3 linked regions of the Lonchura striata genome follow. The protein of the gene in region 3 purifies or fractionates together with the protein of the main gene of each other region. This does not show direct contact. Links are inferred from orthologs where the notes say so. Each region holds a gene or a part of one and is shown on either strand. Other genes may lie near its edges.

Evidence for each region. The genes of interacting proteins can lie anywhere in the genome.
Region 1: the proteins of CRKL (region 3) and GAB1 purify together in Homo sapiens (affinity purification with western blotting; 3 studies listed by BioGRID and IntAct, with this or other methods). This does not show direct contact. The link is inferred for Lonchura striata from reciprocal best matches to the Homo sapiens genes CRKL and GAB1.
Region 2: the proteins of CRKL (region 3) and GAB2 purify together in Homo sapiens (affinity purification with western blotting; 3 studies listed by BioGRID). This does not show direct contact. The link is inferred for Lonchura striata from reciprocal best matches to the Homo sapiens genes CRKL and GAB2.

What each region holds. Positions count from the first base shown.
Region 1 is NC_134606.1:64,919,139-64,927,005, forward strand, and holds the start of GAB1 (GRB2-associated-binding protein 1), read right to left. Parts: upstream 3,002-7,867; 5' UTR 2,747-3,001; coding exon 2,675-2,746; intron 1-2,674. UniProt on the Homo sapiens protein: Adapter protein that plays a role in intracellular signaling cascades triggered by activated receptor-type kinases. Plays a role in FGFR1 signaling. Probably involved in signaling by the epidermal growth factor receptor (EGFR) and the insulin receptor (INSR).
Region 2 is NC_134604.1:32,753,411-32,760,672, forward strand, and holds the start of GAB2 (GRB2-associated-binding protein 2), read right to left. Parts: upstream 3,002-7,262; 5' UTR 2,932-3,001; coding exon 2,860-2,931; intron 1-2,859. UniProt on the Homo sapiens protein: Adapter protein which acts downstream of several membrane receptors including cytokine, antigen, hormone, cell matrix and growth factor receptors to regulate multiple signaling pathways.
Region 3 is NC_134620.1:3,752,262-3,760,086, forward strand, and holds the start of CRKL (crk-like protein), read right to left. Parts: upstream 3,018-7,825; 5' UTR 2,599-3,017; coding exon 2,285-2,598; intron 1-2,284. UniProt on the Homo sapiens protein: May mediate the transduction of intracellular signals.

The DNA.
Region 1 (7,867 bases), on a different chromosome or scaffold from region 3:
AGTTACTTGTACTTTCCTCAGAGATGTGCTGCTGGAAACAACCAGTCTATTACCTCCAACTGTTCTGAACAGCAGCTCCAGGGAACTGACAGCAGGTGCCAATGGCTGTCAGAACATTAATTCCGTAACAAAACCACATGAACAAGGCATGAGAACAGAACTCCTAAGAGAAGAAACAGACATTCATGGCATTAAGGCATACACTCAAGGAAATCTGGAATACCACCTGCAGGACAGGGCTGGTTGGAGGGTTTTTACTTTTTTAGCCTCGAAATGAGTATAAGCTAGCTTTAATACCTCATCCAACAGTTTCAAACTAAAAATCAAAGTCCCTGTGAAAGCTATGTCTGTATATTAGCTTCAAAGTGCTCCTTTTCACCCTTTCTAGGAACTAAACCATATTTAAAAACAATATCAGACTTTTTATCTCCATTTCCAGATGGTAACCTGGGTTCGCCCCAACATTTGCATGCAAAACTTAATAGAGCACGAAGTTACAATTTTCCATATATACCTGTGAAAAGTATGCGTTGCAGAAAAGCAGTTTCCTGTTGAAATCACTTTCCCATCTTTTGATCTGGTGCAGCCCCTTGAAATACTACCACCATAAAACATGGCTTTGGAAAAGGCAGCTCTCTGCTGTGCCTTCACTTAAGCATAGAATTACAGGGAGCACAAGCCAACTCTCCAGCCAGTGCACTCAGCTGGAGTTCATTGTCTTAAATACATCAACTTATTGTTTGCTCCAAGACGGCTACCATAACGTCAAGGTCACTTTTAGGTCTTTGAAGGGAGTGTCAGCCTTCAGCCTGCAACAGAGCAGGCACTACAGACAAACAGGAGGAATTTTACTTTAAGCCCTTCTCTAAGTGGTATCTTTCTTTCACACAAGCAGAAAAGAGTCAAAAATAACGTGTAGGATTTAAACTTATGATCTTACGGCCTACAATGCATGCTAATGTTGAACCAAATCACGCTAAGGTAAGCTTGCCGTATTATCATCCTGATAGTCTGCCTACTCAAAAAGCAGATCCCCCTTTCAAATGAAAATTAAGGAATTACCTCTTTAGGACAGGGAACCACTTGACCAGTGCTGTAGTCGGGGTTTTCCCCTCAAAGGTTCTTGTGTAATTCCAGTATAGAAATGGAGCTATAAATACACTGAAAGGGCAGCTACATGGAAAAAAGTTGGCATATTATGAGACTGATTAATGAGATTGATTTAGGAGGGCAAACTCTGTCCATTTACACACAGCACCCTTCACAGGATTTAGAGTTTGAGTGGAAAATTTATTAAAAGTCTTTAAAAACATGAATACTGCTCTTAATTCCTCCACACTGGTGAAGAGGTGTCCTGTGAATACACACACAGACATAGAGAATTGGCCAAAAAAGCAGTCCATTCAGCGGGGAAGCAGAACCCTGCTATGTCTCATCAGGATGTTCTCTTTCCTTTACACAAAGAGGATTTCTGACATTGGGAACCAGAGAATGGGCTACCCCAAATATTGTTTATTAATTTAAATAGGGACTCATTTCACAGATTTCCTGGCATTTAAAAAAACCCGCCCAAAGTCCCTTCAAGAAGAGACTGCTAATCGCTAACAGACAAAAATAACACAGTCACGCTAAGATCTGTATTCACAGATTCTCAAATAAATCTGAAGCTTTAGCTGCTTAAAAAAGATAAACACTGGAGGGCGGAGGGAGGGAATGAAGGCGAAGGAAGAAAAGAGTTTAAAAAAAAGGCCCAGCATTTTGTCCCGATTACACAGATGCCGCGAAACAAGCCGGGTGCCAATGGGAAAGGGCTCAGCCAGCAGCGATGACTCCTGGCATCACCCATCCTTCCTTCCTACGTGACCTGACAGCCTCCCCGGCGGCCCCGCAGCTCCGCTGTGCCCTGTCATGGAATCTGCCCGCTCAGCAAACGCGCTCCATTTTCCCGTCCGCTCCGCCGGAGCCCCTGCGAGCGCAGCCACTACCGAGCAACAGCGGCAACAACTTCGAGAGAGACACGGGCGCTTCTCTCACAACTGCCTCCTCTTTTTTCTTCCCGGTGCGCAGAGCGAGAGCGGAGCTCCCCCCGCCCCAGCCAGACCGCTTCCGAGGCATCCCCGGCTCCAGCCCGGGGTGCAATCCCGCCGGGAGCGGCGCGGAACCGGGGCAGCCCCCGCCCTCCCTGGGATCGGGCACCAGCCCCGGGACGGCAAGTGTTTACATTTAAAAATACATATATACCGAGGTCGGACTCGGAGGGAAGAGGGGGAAAACTCCGCCCTCTCCCGACTCCCTCGGAAAGGCGATAAAAACTGGGCTGAAACATCTGACCGCTCAGCTCTCCTTTTTTAAGGAGAAAAGAAAAGAAAAGAAAAGAAAAGAAAAGAAAAGAAAAGAAAAGAAAAGAAAAGAAAAGAAAAGAAAAGAAAAGAAAAGAAAAGAAAAGGCGCTGGGAAAGCGGCAGGGACGTGGCGTGCAGAAGCCCCGGCTGGAACGGGGAGGCGGAGGGGAGGGCGGCTCGCCCGGGCCCGGCCGGGAGGGACCGCGCGGGGAGGCCGGGCCGGGCCGGCGGGAGCGGGAGGCGAGCGCGGAATTCCGGCGGGAGAGAAGCGGGGCAGGGAGGAAGGGAGGGAGCAAGGGGGAGCGCGGCCCGCGAGTGGGAGAGGGCACTCACGTAGCGTTTCAACTTCTTCTCCGGCGGGGACTTTCGGAGCCAGCCCGAGCAGACCACCTCCCCGCCGCTCATGGCTGCGCCGCTGCCCGCCGGGGCGCTCCCTCCGCCTCCCGCTCCTTCTCTTCCTCGAGCAGCGGGCGCGGGGAGCCCCGATCGGCGGCGGCAGCACCGCGCCCGGCCTGGCCTCCCGGGGCGAGGGGCGGGACGGGGCGCAGGGTGTGTGTGTCTGTCTGTCTCTCTCGCACAACAGCCCGCCGGAGGGGAGCGGGGCGGCGAGCGGGGCTGAGGCGGGAGGGTCCTCCCTGCCTTCTCCTGCTCGCCGCCGCCGAGTTACACGGACATCGAGAGAGACGACAGGGGCGGCCGCCGCCCCGCCGCAACTTCGGCGTCCCGGGGCAGGATCCAGGATCCAGCCACCGCCCCGCGCCGGTGGCGCCTCCCCCGTGCCACCGGGACCCTCCCGCTGGGCAGGGCCGCTGGGGGCTTCGCTCCCTCCCGCCCGCCCCTCCGAGCTCAGCGCCGGCCGCCGCGGCTCCCTGCTCGCTCCTTCTTCCTCCTCCCCCTGCGCCGGGAGGAGGGGATCGGCAGCACGCCTGCCGTCCCTTCCTCGCCTTCCCTTCCGCGGGGAGGGGTCTTGTCCCGAGGCTGGGGCCGTGGCCCGGAGCCGGTCCGCTTCCCTGCCGGCCAGCGGGGGAAGGCTTTTCCCTGGAATTCACGGCGCCGCGTCCCCCCCGAGCCCCCTTTCTCCCGGCGCCGAGCGGCGGTGCCGCCCCGCCTGCCCCCGCCCGGCGCCGCCCCGAGCGCCGCGGCTCCCCCTCGGAATTCCGCCGGAGCCCTTTCAAACAACAAGGGCTGGGAAGCAGGGAGGCAGGCAGGGAGGGACGGCCGGCCGACGCTTCCAGCGGGATCCTGGGAGCTGTAGTCGGCACCCGGCGAGAACTGCGGCGGCGCGGCCGGGAGCGGAGGGGACGCGGCCGAGGGACGGGCTCGGTCCCTGCGGGGAAAACAAATGAAAACACCAAGCAAGCAAAGAAACAAAACCCAACCTAAAGATCCCTATTAAAACTGCATTAAAAATAGCGCGGCCTAAGTAAATTTCTCATAGCAAGTCTGAAACTGCCATAACAAAAAAAGGAAAAAAAAAAAAAAAATCCTTAATTGTCCAGGTCGTTCACCAGCTCTGCTGTGAATGCTCTCTGTCTTTTTCACTCCGTCAGAAAAGGGTTAAATAAGTAATAACAAATACATTAATAAATATAATCAATAAATAATATATTATTAAATAAAGAAAAAATAATAGTACACTTTTAACGAAAATAATTTTTGAACAAATTTTTTTCAGATTACTAAATGGCAGGTTGTGGAATGGGATCGCGGCTTTGTTGTCTAGTCCCAGTGAAGTTTCACTGCAGAGAAATAGTCCCCCTAGTGTGCCTTGGCTGAAGGGAGCCCGATGATGCTACATTTCATCTAGGTATAAGTGTATTTAAAAGTTACAAAGCAGTGGTTGTAGCATATAGGAGCATTCAAAGAAATAACAGGAAAAAATAAAGGAGAAAGGCTGAGGTGTTAAAATCTGTGCATCAATTCCAACATAAATCTTGTCATGATAATTATGACATTATGAAGCATTACTAAGCACTACAAGAAAGATCATAAAATAAGATATTTTGCCAAAAGCATTTGAAATAAGAAAAGATATGAATGTCAGCCTTTAGCAATTTTCAAAGCACATAAATCTGAGCATTCAAACCATCCTTGCATGAATTTCTGCACACCATCATTTCAGCTTCCTCAGCGGGGCTGGTGGAAACAATAAAAAAGTGATTTGGTTAGTAAACATGAACTAAAATTGTACTCTTAGGTTTAGATTACAAACTGGGTTTCAGTGCAAGTTTTTTGTTTAAACCACTAATACCATTGTTTAATAATCTCAACATTTGACATTATTCAAGTGCTAGATAAGACCACAAAATTTTCCAGTATCCTTTGGAACACTGGAGACGATTCAGTATTTAGAACATGTGGAGCCAATGTGAACTAACTAAAAATGCCATTGGCACTGGGGCATTGTGACGTGATCCAATGGTTCATTTGAATCCCATTAATTAACCCATGCTTTGAGGGCAAATCAAAGAAAGCTTGTTTTGGGTTAAGCAGTCTCCATGGAGGCACCAACCAAACAAGTTAGCTGGTCCAGAGACACAAGATTGTCCCTGAGGTCAAATTTCAAAACATTACATTTGTGTTCTAAAACACACAGAAACCAGTGTCAGCCTGGACTCCAGCTTAAGTTTTCATGTATTTGTTTATCAGTTTTGTGAGGGGGTTTAATCCCTGTCATGTATACACTAGGGAAAAAGAGTTAATGTCACAGTGATGAATAGTAAACAACAAAGCTTGCCTTTTAGACTGTACTTAGTTGCTGAGCCTAGTCACAAGCCTCATGACTGGACATAAAATGTTTTTATTGCATTGTGGAATTGAAGAAAACAATACAGCAAAGCACAATTTCTAAATGTTAAGATGTTGTCTCATGGACTGCTCCTTTCCTAGTCATGGCAGTGGATTTTCTTTTCTGCTCTCAGCCATTTGAGCTACGCATCCACAGTCCCACCAATGCCTTCACTTACCATCTCAGGAGAAGGCTGCACAGAGCTGTACCTCTCTTTCCAAGTTAGTGAACAGCTAGAAAATCCAAGAATATTAATTTTGTGGATTTCTGTGCATATCCAGCAGTGTTCCACAGTTCATAATTTAGATAACCTGTATTAGGGTAAACTGAAACAAGGCTAATGAAATACATGAAGAGCACAATATTTAGGTCTGACTCTTAACACCTGCATATTTATAACTGTAAAACTGTCTATGAAGAGAGTGGTGAAATAATTACACAAGTCAGTTCCTCCATGTAGAAAAATTTTTACACTCAGCCAGCTTAGGCTAGGACATAATTTCCTGAATTTAAGGATAAAAGTCACAAGGATTCTGTCGAGAATAACTGAGCTATACTTCTGTCCTGAAAGTTAAAACAATATAAGCATGCCCCATTTTGAAATTCTTCTGCAATACAGCTTGTGCTTGGAAGAACAAAACTCCCTTCAGGGCTTGAAGGACTGTAACCCCACGTCAGGACATGACCACCCTCTCCCCTCACTTTGTTCCCTCAGGTTATTTCTGTGCTGTTCCTTGGGAAGCCTGGAAGATAAAGGTGTTTCAAGCTCAATTATTTGCATTACAGAGATCTTTGGTATTTGAGTGTAGGGCCTTTGAGGAAGAAGAGAGAAGGGAAGAGGATTTTTTTCTTGGAGGAAAGGTTATTTTGCCTGTTTTTAACAAGGATGTTGCAATGACAGCTGTTGGTTTTGAAGAAGAGGATGTGGCCAGCAGAGCAGCTCGAGGAGGAAGCTCTGGAGGTATCCATCCTCTCTTCTTACAGTGCCAAATCCTGCTACAGGATTGGGAATGTTAGGAATGTTGCCATTCCTGGATCCCACATTGCCATCTGAAACAGTCCCTGTGCTGTGACTGGACATTGTGACCAAGCTGCAGCACACACAATGCTCAATAAAGTGCACTTTAACCAGCGAGGTGATGCCATGGTCATATGGAATGTGACGACTACACACATGTGGTCACGGTGCTGGTGCTGCCTCCCAGCTCAGGAAGCATGTGCAAGATGCCTTGACTCCTCCACTGACCTTGTGTTCTTCCACAAGTGCGTTCCAAAGTGTTTAAATGGGTTCTTCAAAATTCTGGAGTAGACTATTTATATATCTTGCCAGATAAAGTAGGTCATGTGGAAATCCATTTGTCTCTGGTTTGCTTGCCAAGTTGCCTTGATGAAGGAAGCAGGAGCTGATAGAAGAGGAGATTAAATACATATGGGCTTGCTTTCAAAATATAAATTATGTTAATTTCTCATGCAAATAGCTTAAGAATTCTGGACTTGCATAATAAGATGGTGCTCACTACAGCACTATCTTTGTGTTATACTTCTAGTATGATAACCTATGCATTCCCCTGTGGTTTCACCTTGCAGTCACAAACAGCTGCTCCTGATAGTGATCCCTAAACTCCTCTATGCCTCCTGCTTACATTTGAACACAAAATTTGTACTTTGACAAAAAAAGAACCAAAGGTCTAATTAAAAAGTATAAATTAGTTTAACAAAAAATTTTGCATGTCAGTCTATATCCTAAAACATGTTTAGGTGTTTATGTAAAAATGAATCAGTGAAGAAAAAGAATTAATCTTTTAAGTTTGCAAAATTCTGCATTTATATATTTCTTTTCATCTCAAATACTTCCATTTTGATTTCAAAATTATTCCCAGGTAAATTTAATCTATGTAGTTATTTTGGTCACTTTGCAGATGACATTTACTGTTTCTTTCAGAATGTAGTTATTTAGATTATTTGGCAAGCACATTGAGGAAAGTAATAAAACCAGACATAATTAAAAGAGATGACTGTATGTCCACACACTTTAGAGTTGTTTACTGGTTGTTAAGCTACCTCATCTCTTTTCTGTGATTACATTTAATATTGATGTAGGCAAATAAAGGCAAGAGTATACTGCAGAACTCATACACAAAAAAGGAGCAGTTTTCAGTTCTGCACAGGTGTAATACATTGAGATTTCCTTTGTGTATTCTGTGGAAAATACTCATTCCCCATTCTGGTGTGGAAATTCACTGGTAAATGTTTGTCCTCTGTTTTTTGCCAGAGGATCAGTTGACTGCCTTACTTCATGCAAGGGAATTTCCCTTTTTTTCCTAGGCTAGTCAAGGAAGAAGGAGCAGGCTGGCTGGTTGGCCAGCCATGCAGAAACTTCCTAAGGTCTACGCTGTTAAAAAATTAATCAGAAGCTTTTCCCTCCATAAGGACAATATCTTTGCACATATGTACTGAAAATGTAGACTTTTTCTATAATAGGAAGCATTTTACAAGTTCAGCACAATGGAAACTTCACCTTAGGCCACTTTAGGCTTGGTCTTGTAACAGAAATAAGAATTATAGGAGACATGATCGTGTTTCCAGGAAAATAAGTAATGTATGGTCACATGAGAGACCAGTACTCCAAAGCTGTACATAGTCAAAGGAGGCATCAGCCAGGCTCTTTGGCTGAGCATGGTTTGTCCTCAAAAAGCACAAGGTGGAATTTGTACTGAACACCTCCCAAAATAAAAATT
Region 2 (7,262 bases), on a different chromosome or scaffold from region 3:
TGAAAAGAGATATTTTGGTACTTCAATTACTTTTGACCTTCAATTGTTTGCTTAGCTTTTGTTATCAATATTACAGTAGTATTTACTGCCAAACTGCCCAGAGTCTATATGAACCCCTGTATGCAGTTGTGAGACTGAAAAAAGGCACACTTTGTTTCACCTTTAAGCAGTCATCGTTTGATCATTTGAATGTCCCTCAACAGAAGAGAAACTCACAACACTAATATTTCCCAGAGCGTTGTACAAATAGATCCCACAATCTCACATAAACACAATCCTCTGAAGTGAAACAGAGCAGGCACTGCTGTAAATGCAGATTAATGCTGCACAGATCAGGTGTGGAGTTCACCACACCTTTATCAACCACCCTGAATGGAAGTCAGAGAGAAAATTTAGTACTTTCCTTTCTTGCCATAGATCTCCTTGAAAAATAAAAGCAATACAAAACCAGGCTTATAAAAGCACAGCACTTCAAGGACAGCGTTAGCAACACACCCATGTGCAGACACATACATTTGAAAGGCACTTGTCAAAGAAAAAATAAATCTATCCTCTCCCCTGTGTCAATACAGCCAGAGCAGGAACTTCAAACCCCATTAGCAGCATCCTGCAGCCTGAGATTTCTCCTCTGAAATCTCAAAGCAGAACGTAAACTGAAGACATAAGGAAAGTGGCAAAGGCAGCAATTCAGCACCTTCCCTTTGAGGCCATACAAAAGCCGGCATAAACTGCCTTTTGTGCACAAAAAACCAAAGTCCAGCCATGTGGGTTTATTGTGGACAAAGGCAGGTTTTACAGAAGGAAAGCCATCACTCTCAGGCTCTGGACAAACAAGCTGCTCTGAACTACTCTCAAGGAGAGCCTGTTCCACACGCCAACATCCTAAATGCACACCACAGCTACATAAATACAGCATCAGTAATAATGCATTAAAAGGCAAAGGTACAAGGCACCACCAAGTGAGACACAGTCCAAGCTAAAGGCCAACACTTTCAAATTCAGCCACTGATGCAGGAAGCTGGTGCAACTGGTGTGACTGGAAGGGAAGTCCCACTGACCACAGTGGCGGGACTGCTTCAGCACAGAGTCCCCTTGAGTGACATCTGCCAAGCATCGCTTCCTGCCCCGAGGAGGCTGCGTGGGATGGCTGGGCACATCTCAGCATGGCTGCATTTCCTCTTGGGGGAATGAGGATGTTTTGAAAACATAGGTGGCTTGCAAAGCACTTTGGGATGCATGTGGATGAAAAGCACTCTTATGCACATCAATAATTAGCACTAACTGCCGGCGTGTCACACCCTCCATGTAGAGCATTTAGCAGATTTATTCAGCTCTTGCTAGAATGCCAGAGCACAAACTGGATATTCAGACCGTGATGTGAGCGCCCTTTCATGGGGCAGATGCTGGGGAGCTAATGATGTTTGATGAATTAAGGCCATTGGTGACTCAGGATCAGCAATTAGTTGATTTCTGCGGGAGGAAGGTGCTTTGCTCCATTAAGCTAAAAGCATCCTCCACAGTTCAGCATGCACAAAGTCATTCTGTCCACCTCCCACAAAGCCTGCCTACGTTCATTTGGGGGTTGGTACTTCCCACATAAACACTCAGGTTTACCTTACTGGATTCCCTAGCAGTTCCATCCTTCAGCCTTGTGCCAACCTGATATTCCCTGGAAGAGCATAAGGCACACAAGGAAAGAATTGCCAAGAGCAACTGGACGCACAGTCTAATGCAAAGGGATATGGTACCACTGATGTCCATGGGGCTGACCCCTTTTTTGGGCAAGGCTAATAACACTATCACAAATCAGACACAACCACAGTCCTGCTCTAGCCTGCAGTACGGGACTACAGACATCCATCTCCCTCTCAAGGGTAGGCAGTGATGCTTCCATCAATCATTAACAGGCACTGGGGAGACACCAGCCGCACTTGTTCTGCCTGCCATTCCCCAAACGCATGCAGGCAAAAGCAACAGGACCAAAGGATGATCTGGCTGGCATTACCCCAGGAAAGGAGAGCATCCAGCTCCCTCCCAGAGGCTGCATTCCAGTCATCTGAAGGCTGGCTGAGGCTGGTCGCTGGTGTCAGGGAGTGGGACCCTTGACATCCCGGGGAGCGATGTGCCAAGTCATAGGACGGCAGCGCGTTTCTGAGCGCTAACGCTCGTGGCACATGGCAGGACTATCAGGCGGAGGACGCAAAGAACAGTTATTTCTTTCAATGAGTGGGGAATGTGACAGAGCTGGCATTTGGACCCTCTTTTTACAACTTCTTTGAAGTGTTTGATCTCAGCCGCTAACGACACAAAGACTATCGAAGCGCTACTGGTGCTATCTTCAAAGGGTTCCGAGGTTCAATGATTAATAGGAGCCCTGCACGGGATGGAGGAGAGCGACTATTACGGGAAGGTTGGGGGGATCCAAGACGCGGTAGTACTCTTACTCTTTGGGACCAAGGTACTCCCAGCCTCCCCTAAAACAGCCGACTCCAAAGGCGGGGGTGTGACCGTCGCAGGTCCCGGGTGAGCCCGGCCACCGCGGGGCGCAGCCAGAGCGGCCCCGGCGCCGCGTCCGCTCCAGCGCGGCCGTCACCGCCCACCCCGCCACCCCGGGCAGGGAACAAGCCGGGGGCCCGGAGATGCTCCCACCCGCCTTCCCCGAGAGGCGGGGAGCCAGGGGCGTTCGTTCCCGGCCCGGGCAAGGGGCACCCCCGCCCAGCCGAGCCTCCGCGGCGGCGGGAGAGGCGGCGGCAGGTGCACCCGGGCTGGCGGCGGAGGAGCGGGGATGGAGGCGTGGGGAATGGATCCCGGCTTTCCCGGGGCCCGGGCGAGGATGAGATGGGGTGGGCTGAGACTTACGTATCTCCGCAACTTCTTCTCCGGCGGTGACTTTCGGAGCCAGCCCGAGCACACCACCTCCCCGCCGCTCATCGCGGCAGCCGGGCGCCGCCGGGCGCTGCCTCCCGGCGCTCAGCGCCGGCCGCGCCGGCCCATGGAGGGCGGGCGGGGCTGGGTGGGTGAGCGGACGGATGGATAGATGGATGGATGGGTGGGTGGAGGGAGGGAGGGAAAAAGGGAGGGAGAGATGGAAGGATGGATGCGGGGGGCGGCGAGCGCCTCCCCCCGCCGCCGCGGCCGCTGGGCTGCGAGCGGGGAAGCAGGAAACTGGCTCCTTCCCGGCTCACCACGCCTCCGCCCGCCCGGCGCCCCGCCAGCCGCGTTAAAGACACAAACCCGCGGGGAGAGGGGCTGCCCGGCCCCACGCCGCCCCCAGGGGCTGCCGCTCGTCCCTGTCCCCCCCACACTCACAGAGTGCCTACAGAGAAACTTTATCCATGCTGCAGCAGGTGATCTCTAACAGCGCAACATTTCCTTAATTAAAAAGTACAGCTCCTCCCCTGTAATGTTTCATTATCCCGGGACCCTTCCCCTGTCTTGAGGGAAGAGGTCCTTCTCACCTCGGAAAGGCGAGGCTGGCTTTAGCCTCTCTGTGCTCAGAGGCTTGTGCCTGAGATGAAGGTGCCATAGGAAAATAATGAGGTTGAGCAAGAAACAGCCAAACACCAGTGATGCCAAAAACCCTCCTGAAGGAAAAAATATAGCAATAAAAAACCACGAGGGGAATCAATAAAAGCTTCGTATTTTATTATTGATTTTTAAGTAATGGAGCAGTGGCCACTGAAAGGGGATTTGACTGCCACTGGAGTCTCATGCAGACAAGCCAGGTTTTGTATTACAGTGTATTATACCCTGGCTGAGATTCACTATCAACTTTTAGATCTAGAAACACTGTACATTTCAAAGCCTGATCCTCTCCTCTCCAGCTCAGACAGTAATAAAACATCTCTCCACAGCCCTTCGAATTGGGTTATGCTCTAACCTTGCTTTCACTGCACCCTTTAAAGCAATACTTGGGCATGGCACCCATAAAAGCTGAGTCCTCTTAGCCCACGCTCATGTGGAAAGCACAACAATTTGCTAGGGATGAATTTCTAAGACCTGTCTCTATACAACAGCTCTGCCCCAAACCTGCTTGGGCACATTCAGTCATCCCTGCCTCAGCTTCCCTGCCTGTCCAACCTCTATGGGCAGGGATGGTCCCTCCTTATGTGTTTGTGCTGTAGCTGGTGCAATAACAACTCCATGCTGGCTGGATGTGCTACCGTATGTCACACAACAACAACCTTTATATAACGTCACTCGAGCAGGGATCTTGCAACACTTCAGAGCAGTAATTGCAACTTGCAGTGCCTCTGGGAGGCAGGAGCAACACCTCTTTTCAAGATGGGGAGAGCACGTTTAAGCCATATGTTGTTTATCATCTTTGTGAATGCATAAAGAAGGGGAATAACCCCTTACAGAACAAGTCAGTCATTTGTTAGGAATGTATTTTCTCAACAGCTTTGTTTTACTGCCAGTGAAATGCAAAGGCTAAATAGGAAGATTTTTCTATCGTCTCACTACCCAAAGGAAGAGCTTGATCCTAGTCCAGTGCTGGGCAATCTCTGCAGAAAGAGGCTGTGCTCAGATCAGCGTGTCCATCTCTGCCAACACAGCGTGTGTGGTGGGGCTGAGAGCAGGGGAGAATGGAGGGACCAGTTCTGTGCTGGCTTCAGTTGACATCACCTTATTCAGCACACTGGAGCCATATCAATTTACACCGCATGAGTGCAAGAGGCTCACCTGCAAACTCTCCTGGTTAGAGGCACTTTGTGTATTCGTAGAGAAAATTGTGTCCTGGTGGCCTGCACTTCGGAGATCTTCCCAAAACAGAAATTTCAGGGAGGCTGGTGAGCTACTGGGGATTTAGAAAGATTTGATTAAGAACAGATGATCAGGATTAATACAAAGGTATCATGCAAAACTATCCCATGGTGTATGTTAATGATTCACAAGTTAGGAATTCACTCATACTTACACCAATGCAAAGTGGTATCAGTTTGAATACCAGTTGCAGAGAACCCTGTCTGCATTTTTATGCTAACAACTTCCACCACACAGAGTTGGAACACTTCATTTGGGTAATGGATGTTTAAAGAAAAGCTCCATAATTATCATTGTGTGAATTGGAATGAATTATTCTACATGTTCTATGACAGCCCTTGGTTTATTACCTTGCTCCTTTGCTGTACTCTTCCTTCTCTCCACTCATCCCCTATTCTGGATCCCATTTACTGACTTGGTTACATCACAAGATATATCCAAACAGTGTCCAAAATATTAAGTACCCCTGTAAATTCTTTTTTCCCATGCTTTTAGTGATGCCTGACAGGTATCTCAGTTTACTGGAACTTTTGGATGGGAAATAGGTTGCATTTTCTGTACATTTGAATGTGCTGCTGTTCTCAGATGTGACACAGAATCACAAAATTATTGAAGTTGGTAAAAGCCTCCAATATCATCAAGTCCAACTGTAATATAAGCTCTGTGCAGAAAAATGCTTCAAAGATGCTGCACGTGAACGTGCCTCTCCAATTCCACTGTGGCTGTACACAGAATGGGAACAGTGAGTTAATTCTGGCATCAGGTTTCCAGATTACATATGATCCAATGCATGTAACATTACAACGCCTTATAATGCTGGCCCTCCTTAAAGCTTTTGGCCAGGAAGATACACAAATACTACCCTCAGTGCCCCTGGGAGTTAAAGACGATGTCTGTCATGAGCACAGCTCGATTTGGCAGCGCTTGCACGTTCGTAACAGTTTTTACCAACTTCAAGCTGTTCCTCCAACCGGCAGTGGAGAATGAACTCAGGCTGGCCCCAGCTGACTGTGTAAATCTCTGGAGTGTGAGCTAACAGCCAGCAGCCTTGGCGGAAAACTGTGTGAAAACCGCATCCCTGTGTTGGAAAAATCTGACAAGGGAGTTATGCGAAGCCATCGAGAATTCATCTCTGCCAGCAGAAGCAACTGAAGGAGGAACAGCAAAATTAGCAGATATAGCAAGGGAGAAATTAAGAGACGCCGTGTAAGAAATATTTCTTGAACAAGGGTAAGGCTGAGAGAGAAACATTTTTCTAAGAAAAAGCCCTTGTACTGTCTTTAACTGCCGTGCTGGGGTGCACGACAAAGTGACACTTTCTTCTGCAGAAACCTCCGGGGTTTTTAATCGTAACCTTCAGTGTGGTTTCTTGTGCATATCTGAAACCGAAAAATCAGAACTTCTAAGAAAGAAACCACAATGTCCACGGCTACTCCTTCCTGCTCCAAATTTATTCAAATGAGCTGTGCCATCTGCTGGCAGACGGGAAAGCTGCAGGCGGAGCAGTTCGCTCCCAGCCGCTGGTGCAAGCAGCCGGGATGGAGACACCGGGCATTTCCTGTGCATTAAGGACCAGCTGGCTGAAACGCTCCGGGCCACTTACTCCAGCCAGGCACAAATCCCTTGGAAATGCCCTATACGGTGGTTAATATAAACCGAAACAGGCTGTGGGGATGGGAGAGGAAAGGCTTGAAAAATCTACCGTGTGCTGCTTCGTGCTCCTTGCCTGCTTTTAATTCTGAGCGAATGCTCGGTCTCGTGAGATCCAGCTCCACAACAATAAGACCCGACTTTATCTTCATGCAACAGTTCCTGCAGCAGAGCGGGATGGAAGCAGCTTTTTGATTTAATGAAAGAATTTTCAAGGTTAAAAAAAAAACCAAAAAAACCACCTCTTTCAAGAAGGCAAGTCTTTTCAAGCTTTCCACCCTCCATAGAAGAGCACAGCAAGCCCCCCAGAATGACTGCAATTGAAGCCAAACCACAAGGCAGTCCTTTCCTTCTTGTGACAGCAGCTCCAGCAGCACTGGCTGCTTTCCATGAGCAGAGGGAATAGTAGCAAAAGGTGCTTTGATCAGATAATGAGACAGTTTGAAGCATCTTCCGTGGAGTGTTGTGGCAAAGACAGGGGCATCAGTCTGATGCCTTAATACAGGCTTGAAACAGAGATGAGATGATGCAGGTCAGCAGTGTTCAAGGCACATAGATTTGCATGGAGTTGATGGTCCTACTTTGTCCTCTCTCTGTTGGAGATCCCGGCCAGAACCAGCACATCCCATCTGGGATGGATACAGACCCCCTGGGCAGCACAGGAAGGCGCCTGGGGTGCTGAGCTGGATAGCGTCTGTGGCTGCAGCTGGAGGACACTGCCAGTCCTCACACTTGAAGATGATTAAAGAAGACTTCCTATTCCTATTCAGTCAACACTGAAGCCCAGTGCTATTTCTCTCACCAAACTAAACACTTAGAAATAACTTTGCCTGGAGCTGAGCTGGGGC
Region 3 (7,825 bases):
AGCAGATACTTATTATCTAAGCTATGATAGCAAGGATGCATGTCATTAACCTACTTCAATTCTCTTTTGCTACTTGCAAAATATGATGGAAGTCAAATCCCTGTGATTTTTGCAAGATATGCCAGAAGCCCTGAAGATAAAGATATTCCATCTTCAGACACCCTGCTGCAGCCAAAGCAGGGGGACAGAGGGAACCCTTCAGGGAACAATTACTTTGCATAAGCAAGAGCTCAGAAACATCAGCAAGGATGGTCAGAGCTCACTACTAGAGACATAAAAGAAGCAAAGTTTAAAACGGTCCATTTAGGACTGTTTTAAAAGTTTAAGATGTCATCTCTAAGATCTAGAAGTACTGTAGGGCTCTATATAGAAACCACCTTTCAGACTGTACTTTATGAAATTAAGAATGAACAGCTTTCAAAAGCACAAGCATCTGTGCCCAGGAAAATGCCAGAAAAATAAGAATTAGCATAACAGTTCTGACGCACATACCTGGCCACCCCTATTCTAAATCTAGTCTATTAACTAAAAATTTAAAAAAAACCCACCAAAAATCTGGAAATTCTACCTTTCATCATCCCTCTTGCAGCAGGAAGTCTCCTTTGCACAGAATTTAAAACCATCAACCACATAACTGATTTTTCTAAGAGTTTTAACAAAGACATTGTAAGGAAAAAGACCTAGTCAATCCCATTTGTAGCTCTATATAAAAGCTAAAAAAGTCAATTCCCTGCAGATTAGGTCCCATTTGTCTGTGTGCTGAGAGAACAATATGCAACCAAAACGTTGCAAATGAGGTGGTACTAAAATGTTCACAGAACATTTCACACAGGACTCCTCAAACTCCACAAATACCAAGTGTGCAAGTGCAATCAGCTCCAAGTTCTCAAGTGCTTTGAGAAAGCCAAGCCAGTCATGGCCATAAATGATTATGAACAAGTTTTTGCATCCAGAAAGGTTCAAGAGAACAGAGATAACCATGAAGATTGCTTCAGCATAAGACTTTTTTTCTTCCCAACTCTCCACATGTTTAAGCATGCACATAACACTGGGCAGCTCCATTTAAGCATTCCTGCAATGGTGAAAACCATTTTTTTTATCTACCCATCTCTCTAGCCACAATCACTACCCAAAAGGCTGCCAGCAGATTGAATAGTTCTTGAAGGTTGTGCTTTGTCACATCCTGCCCATCACTTAACAGCTTTTCAGAGTGACTTTTGAACACCTGGGTTTTCAACTTGACAAGCTATTGTCAATCTTTGACAAGTGACTGTCATTAAGTACTGGTCTAGGCCAAGGTTCAATTGTGATTATAAACCTAAAAGTTATTCTTCCCTCCTAAGAACTTGCTAATCTGCAAAACATAATAAGATATTAAAATTCAGAAGTGAACCAATTTGGATTTATTTTTTCAATATGTCCCTACTTTTCTCTTATTTAATTTAATTTCATTCTCTCCAGGAAGCCCAAAAGTTTTGACAAAAGACACTGAGAAAGGCTTTATTAATTAAAAGTAAGGAATATGTTATAGGAGTCTTCATAAGCAGTTTACTGATGTATGTTGCAGGTATGTCCCATGCTGGGACCAGGACAAAGAAGGAGCTCATAGCCAAGTCACATTTTCCCATCCTCCTAGAACAGCATTTCTCAGTGAAGTGTATGGTATATGCAGATATAGATGAACAGTACCATAAGCAATCTGTGAGAAAATAAGTGTTTTACATTTTTTTGGTGCAGAAATGCCACTCTAAAAGTTTGGGAAATGCTGCCCTATGTATTAACGCTGACTTAACAGGGCAAAGCAGTCTAATCACATAAAAGCCAGTCCTATTGTAATCGGTGTGGGTGCAGGGGTAGACAGCAAACTAAGCTCAGAGGCTGTACTTCAATCACGGAGAGGACTGGTGAACCAGCTTCTCAACCATCCTTGGAACAGAGAGACAATGCTAGAAGAAGAGAGTAACACAAAAAGGGTGACGTGCGACCACACCCTCTTTCAAGGCCATTTCAGCCCGTGGCAGATGTACATGGTACCTTTACACACAAGGTCAGCACAGGGAGAGTGGATGATTGCACGGAAAGAGCAACACTTTTAATTGTCGGGGAGATCCAGAGCGTTAAGGCTCAGCGTTAGCAACGAACGTTTCCTTAGTATTTATTCATAGCATCTACACCCAGTGCCAGGCTCCGGAGCTCCTGGGCTGGGCTGTGACACCTTCACAGGTCGCACCTCCTGGCGCCACCCGGAGCAAAGGTGGCGGTGGGTGTGGCGGGGGACACTCACCTGGGCGCGGGCTCGATGAGCGTGGTGGTGTCCAGGTAGTGGATCTTATAGAACTCCAGCAGGGCGGGCAGGTGCTCGAACTCCTGGTCGCCGATCTTAAAGCGGCGGTTGGGCAGGGAGTTGATGATGTAGTGGGAGACGCGGGAGTTCTCGGACACCGAGAGCACGTAGTCCCCCGGGCAGGTGGACGAGTCCCGCACCAGGAACATGCCGTGCCGCTGCCCCTGCAGCCGCGTCTGCGCCTCCGCCCGGGACACCGGGCCCACGTACCAGCTGGAGCGGTCCGACGAATCGAAACGAGCGGCGGAGGACATGGCTCCGGGCGGGGAAGGGGAAGGAAAGGGAGGAAGGAAGGTGAGGAGCCCGGAGGCCCTGGCGGAGGAAGAGACCCGGAGGAGGCCTGGGCAGAGAGGCCTGGGAGGTGGAGCGGGCTGGGGGCGAGCGGGAAGCGGCTCGTGCTTAGTCCAGGAGAAAGGAAACCCAGGGCAAGGGGGATAAGGGAGAAGGAAGCTCCGCGCCGCTGGAGGCGAAGGGCCGAGGAGCGGCTGGGGTGGGGCTGGCCAGACGCGGCGCGCAGGGCCCCCGAGTCTCCCTCAGCGGCGGGGTGTGCAGGGCATCCTTCCCGCCTCTCTCAGGCCTGCGGCGGGCCCGGCCAGGCGGGTGACGAAGAGCAGCGGCGGCTGGCACGGGCGGGCGGCCCGGGAAGGCGGCGAGCGGAGCCGGCCCGGCTCGGGGCGGGACGCGGAGGCTGAAGCGCCGGGCGCCGCGTCCTCCCGCGGGTTCCTCCCCTCGCGAGCCCAGCTCCAAAATGGCGGCTGCGCCGGGCCGCGCGAGCGCCGCGAGACACCGCCCCGCGCACGCGCCGTGGCGGCGGCGGCGGCGCGGGGCCGCGCCCGCCTCAGGGGCCGGGCGGGGGGTTCGAGCCCCGGAGCCCCGTCCCGGCGCCCCGGGGAGCGGCACGGCCGCCCCTTCCCCGTTCCTCCGCGAGAGTCACTCAAGCCGTCCCCGGTGCACCCCCGCTCGGTGCGGTGAGTGAGGCGGGGGTGACCGCATCCCCTCACAGGGCAGGGCTCCCTCAGTGCTGCAGGCGCGCTTTGACGCGGGACACCCCCCAGAAACTCCCCAGCCCTTGGCCTTCAGGTATCTGAGGGGGCCCCTCCATCTTCCCCCCATCCCTCTCGGCACGTTCTCCCTGCTCGGTGCCGCCCAGCCCCGGGCTTTGCTCCCCGCTGTCCCGGGACTGCCTCGGGCTGCTCTCGCTGCTCCCGGACCCGAGGGGTGCCAGCACCCTCACCCCAGGCGGTTTGCAGACAGACACCACCTCTCCTGAGGTTTTGCTGGTTTTTACTAGTTAATTAATTCTCTTTTAAGGAACAAAACGGCCCGCCGTGATAATCATCTCTGATCTCGAGATAATTTCCTACGTGCTCCAAGGGGCCGTTTCCTGCCTCTTCGTAGCTTTGTTCGCAGATAACGGGGTCAAAGCCCGGCCTGGCCCGGGCGGGAGGGAAGATGGTGTGGCAGCCGCTGAGGAGGAAGGAAGGCCCGGAAAGGCCTCGGCAGGGCTCGGGGGCAGCGCTTGGCACATGGTGCGGATGAGCTGTTTGAATTTGAGAGGAGGTTGGCGCCGGGAGCCCAGACCGGCACCGGGCTCTGACTCACGCCCCGGGGGCCGGCAGCGCCATTCGGCCCGTCCGGCCGCACTGCGCGGGGGCGCGGCAGAAAAACTGCGCTGCCTCCCCGGAGGTGCTAGAAACCTCCGAGAACGGTGTGATTTTAGCTCAGCCTTGTGACTTCGTTTAATTTGTGCTTTTTTAATTCATTTTGCTTCAGGGCTGGCAATGTGAAATGAAGCAGCACTTGAAAAAAAAGAAAAAAAAGCCAGTTCAAATGAGAAATAGATTTAAGATGTCTGTCTTGAAGCGCTTAGCTGGACTGTTGTGCAGTGTTATTCCAGCTTTGCTGTCTTTCTTTCATGCTCTGCCTTTTCCAAAAGTTCAGTCATTACATAGTCATATTTTTCCTTTGTTCCTCATCCTCCATTGGCAACCAGTGCCAACCGAGGTGTCTGGATTGGAACATATGGGCTGTGTCTCTGCAGACATTTAGCAGAGTTCAAATCTGAAATGGAAGACTTCTCCAGTGTCATGATTTAGACAAAGCCATCCAGGAGAAGTCTCATCATTGAGATGAAAGGATCTTAAAGCAGCCCCTGAATTCATGAGCAGGTATCGTTTTACCAGCTGCTGACATACAGCCATCTCCTGGGTGGAAAACAACAGCTGTTAGTCATGTACAGCAAAACAGTGACCTAGAGATGAATAATTACATCTGAAAATTCACATCTATGCAAAAAAATTTTGTCCATTACTAGGAAATCTTACTTAGTAGCTATACCTCTGATCCATTCCTCCTGGTTTAAGTGCTTGTGTCTGCTAGTAACAGCCAGTTTTAAACACTTGTAGACAGGCTATAATAGAATATGAAGGTTATGATGTTTTCTTGTGTCATTGAACAGATCTGGCTTGTTTTCTGTTTGACCATGGCCAAAATACAGATTAAAAGATAGCACTTGAACTTGCAATAATATACTAAATAACATTTAAAAATAATTATAAAAGCTGTAAGTTAGCAGCACATTTAGTAACTCATAGTATATAAAAAGGAAATAAAAATTCCTGCGGCTTCATTTTGTTGAATTACATTTTTTGTTAAAATAAAAATCAAATATGTATAGTGATTTTGCCTCCATTTTGTACAGATAATACTAGAATCTCAATATAGTTTGAACAGGTCAGAAATAAGTAGTATTCTAAACCAGTTTTTGTGCAGTACTGCATGGGGCTGGACTGCTGCTGAAGAACCAATGCTTCCACCTTCCCATCCAGAGAGGATTCTAAGGCATGGAGAGGTTTTCAGTTTGAATGAACTTTGAAATTAGATATTCTGAACTTGTATATGTGCAGGTTGTGTGCATCCTTCAAGTAATTCCCTCTGTTTTATTAACCGGGGTTAAACTAAACCAGGTATTTTAGGAAAAAGATCCCACATATGAGGGATATCTCATATCGTATCTTCCATATGAGCAAAAGTTAACTTGTTCATCATTAATGCTTTCTGATAAGACTGTGCTTCAACTTCCTAGACTACAGACAATCATCTCAGGTGTATTACATCCCTACAAATGCATTTGGTTTAGGAAGAATGGATGAATGTCTGGTACCACTTTGCCTTTTTAGTACATATAAATACCTTTATGCTCTTTGACTTTACCTGTTGGCAGTTGAGCATGGCCAGTTGTAATGCAGGGGGGAGCTCAAAAGTGCATCAGCTGCCCATGAAACAAAACCTCAGCTGGCAGAATATTCCCTTGAGAAGGCCCTGTACCTCTTTCCCTGTGCCAGCTGTTCCTTCTTCCTTTTCACCAGAAGCTTCTTCCTTTCACCAGATCCCATCAATTGGGCTGAGTTCCAAATAAATTGTACATGTGGCTCATCCCTAAGTAAGGAGAAGTACATTTCTGCCAAGGCTACAGAATAAGAATCCTTATTTTATTTCAAATCAAGTACTGGGTATGCTTCCAATACAAAATTAATGACCCTAATTTGAACTATGAGGAAAATGGGAAAGGATATGTTGGATTTGGAAATAGACAGCTGGAGAAGAAATACAGTAGTGAAAGCAGTTATGAAACAAAACTGAAGCAATCACAATCATTTCTGCAAATATGGAAAATGTAAGCCTGAAATACTTCAGGATACAAGTCCACTAATTACAAATCTGGCAAATATGCCTGTACAGCTTTACCTCTGTGCTGGCAGGAAATAGGAAAATAGATCATCAAGAAAGCTAATTACCATTCTTCTGGACTTCCTAATGTATCAGCAGTTTGAGTGTTGGTATTTTGATCACTCACTTCTGGAAGAGCTGTTTGATTGTTCTCTCACAGACCAGAAATAACTTACAGCTTTCTTAGTTCATTGTCCATCTGTCCACAATGTCTTGTTTTATACTGGCTCAGGGAGCTTACTGTAAAAAAAAAAAAAAGCCTTTTACTGTCAGATACAAGACTGACATATTTAGGACACCAGAGAAGTTATATATAAAAAAAAACAACCTAGAATCAGCTTGAAATCCCTATGAGTACATGTTTCTTTTGAGGTAACAAAGCTTAAGTGGGCTTGTGAAAGTTCAGTTCCTGAAGCATCATTCTTGATAGGAAAACCAATCAATAATAATTACAGCCCTGTGTATCAACCTGTAATCTTTCCTGCGATTTGTTTATATAGGTAATGGTAGTAAACAAGAAGTAATTTATGTCTGCTGAGTAAAAGAAAATTACATTTTTAAAGCAAAGCAATTTTATTATTATTTAGCCTGTGTGCTAGTTTGAAAAAAGGACATGCTGGCCTAAAGTGAGCTACTGCTAAAAAATGATTAGGATGGTTTGAGCTAAACTCCATGGTTTTTTACCTAAATGAAATACATGCAAGTAAGATAGTGCATACTGTAACTTTCAACAGTCACATTGTCGTCAGATGTAAATAAATTTTGGGGATGAAAGCAAAAAGTTGTTTTTTTACCAAGTATTACCTGCCCTTAGGATTAGTTCAAGTAACTTAGGGTTATTATACCAAATATATTTATATTATATATAAATATAAATAAATATATATATAATATATATATTATATATAAATCACTCAAATAAGTAAAAACAAGAGAAAAATAATGTAATGCTAAGGTAGATGATCATCTGCTTTAAGTAATTTCCTTGCAACTACATTCTAAGCCTTATATTCATTAGCTTTTCAGAGCATCCAACTGCAACATTTAGTGAATAATGCAATCACAAAATAGCATATGCTGATAAATGGAATGTGGATGAGCTCTCTAGAATCAGTATTCACACACAGAAGGAGTGACAGGGTAGAAGCTGGAACACCCACTCTCCCCAAAGTTTGCTCAAGATGTTTCTTTGGCTCATTAATTACTCATGAATGTCTTCTATTCTCGTATGTAATCTAAGAATTAGCCTCTCAGGTTGGTTATTTGTAACAGTGAGTAATACCCTCTAGCGGTACACATAGGAAAAGGAGCTAGACAAAGAATGATTAATTCTTTTTTCATTGTTAAAGAGGCTAAGTAAGGTTTCATCTAAATAACAAGAATAACCCTGTATCTTTGTATGATACAGGGCATCACTGGTCTGTCTAGAGATGCTGGTTAAAATGGAAAATGCACTGCACTGAGTTAGATGTCAGTTAGAAATAATAATTTGTTTGCAGAGGAAACAAATTGCCACTTACAGTCTGGAAGGAGTGGTTCTAGTGACTCCCACATCAGAGAGGTATGTCCTTATATCTGAAGGCTACATTTAATTCCTACATATGACAAGTAACTCTGTAGGCAAAAAAGGAATATTTATCAGTCTCTAATATTGCAGTGTAATAAAGCCTGCATTTCCAGACCCTGTGTGCAGTCCAGCGTTCACTATCAAAAAAGTATTCTCTGAAAAAGTTTGTAATCAGGGTTTCCTGC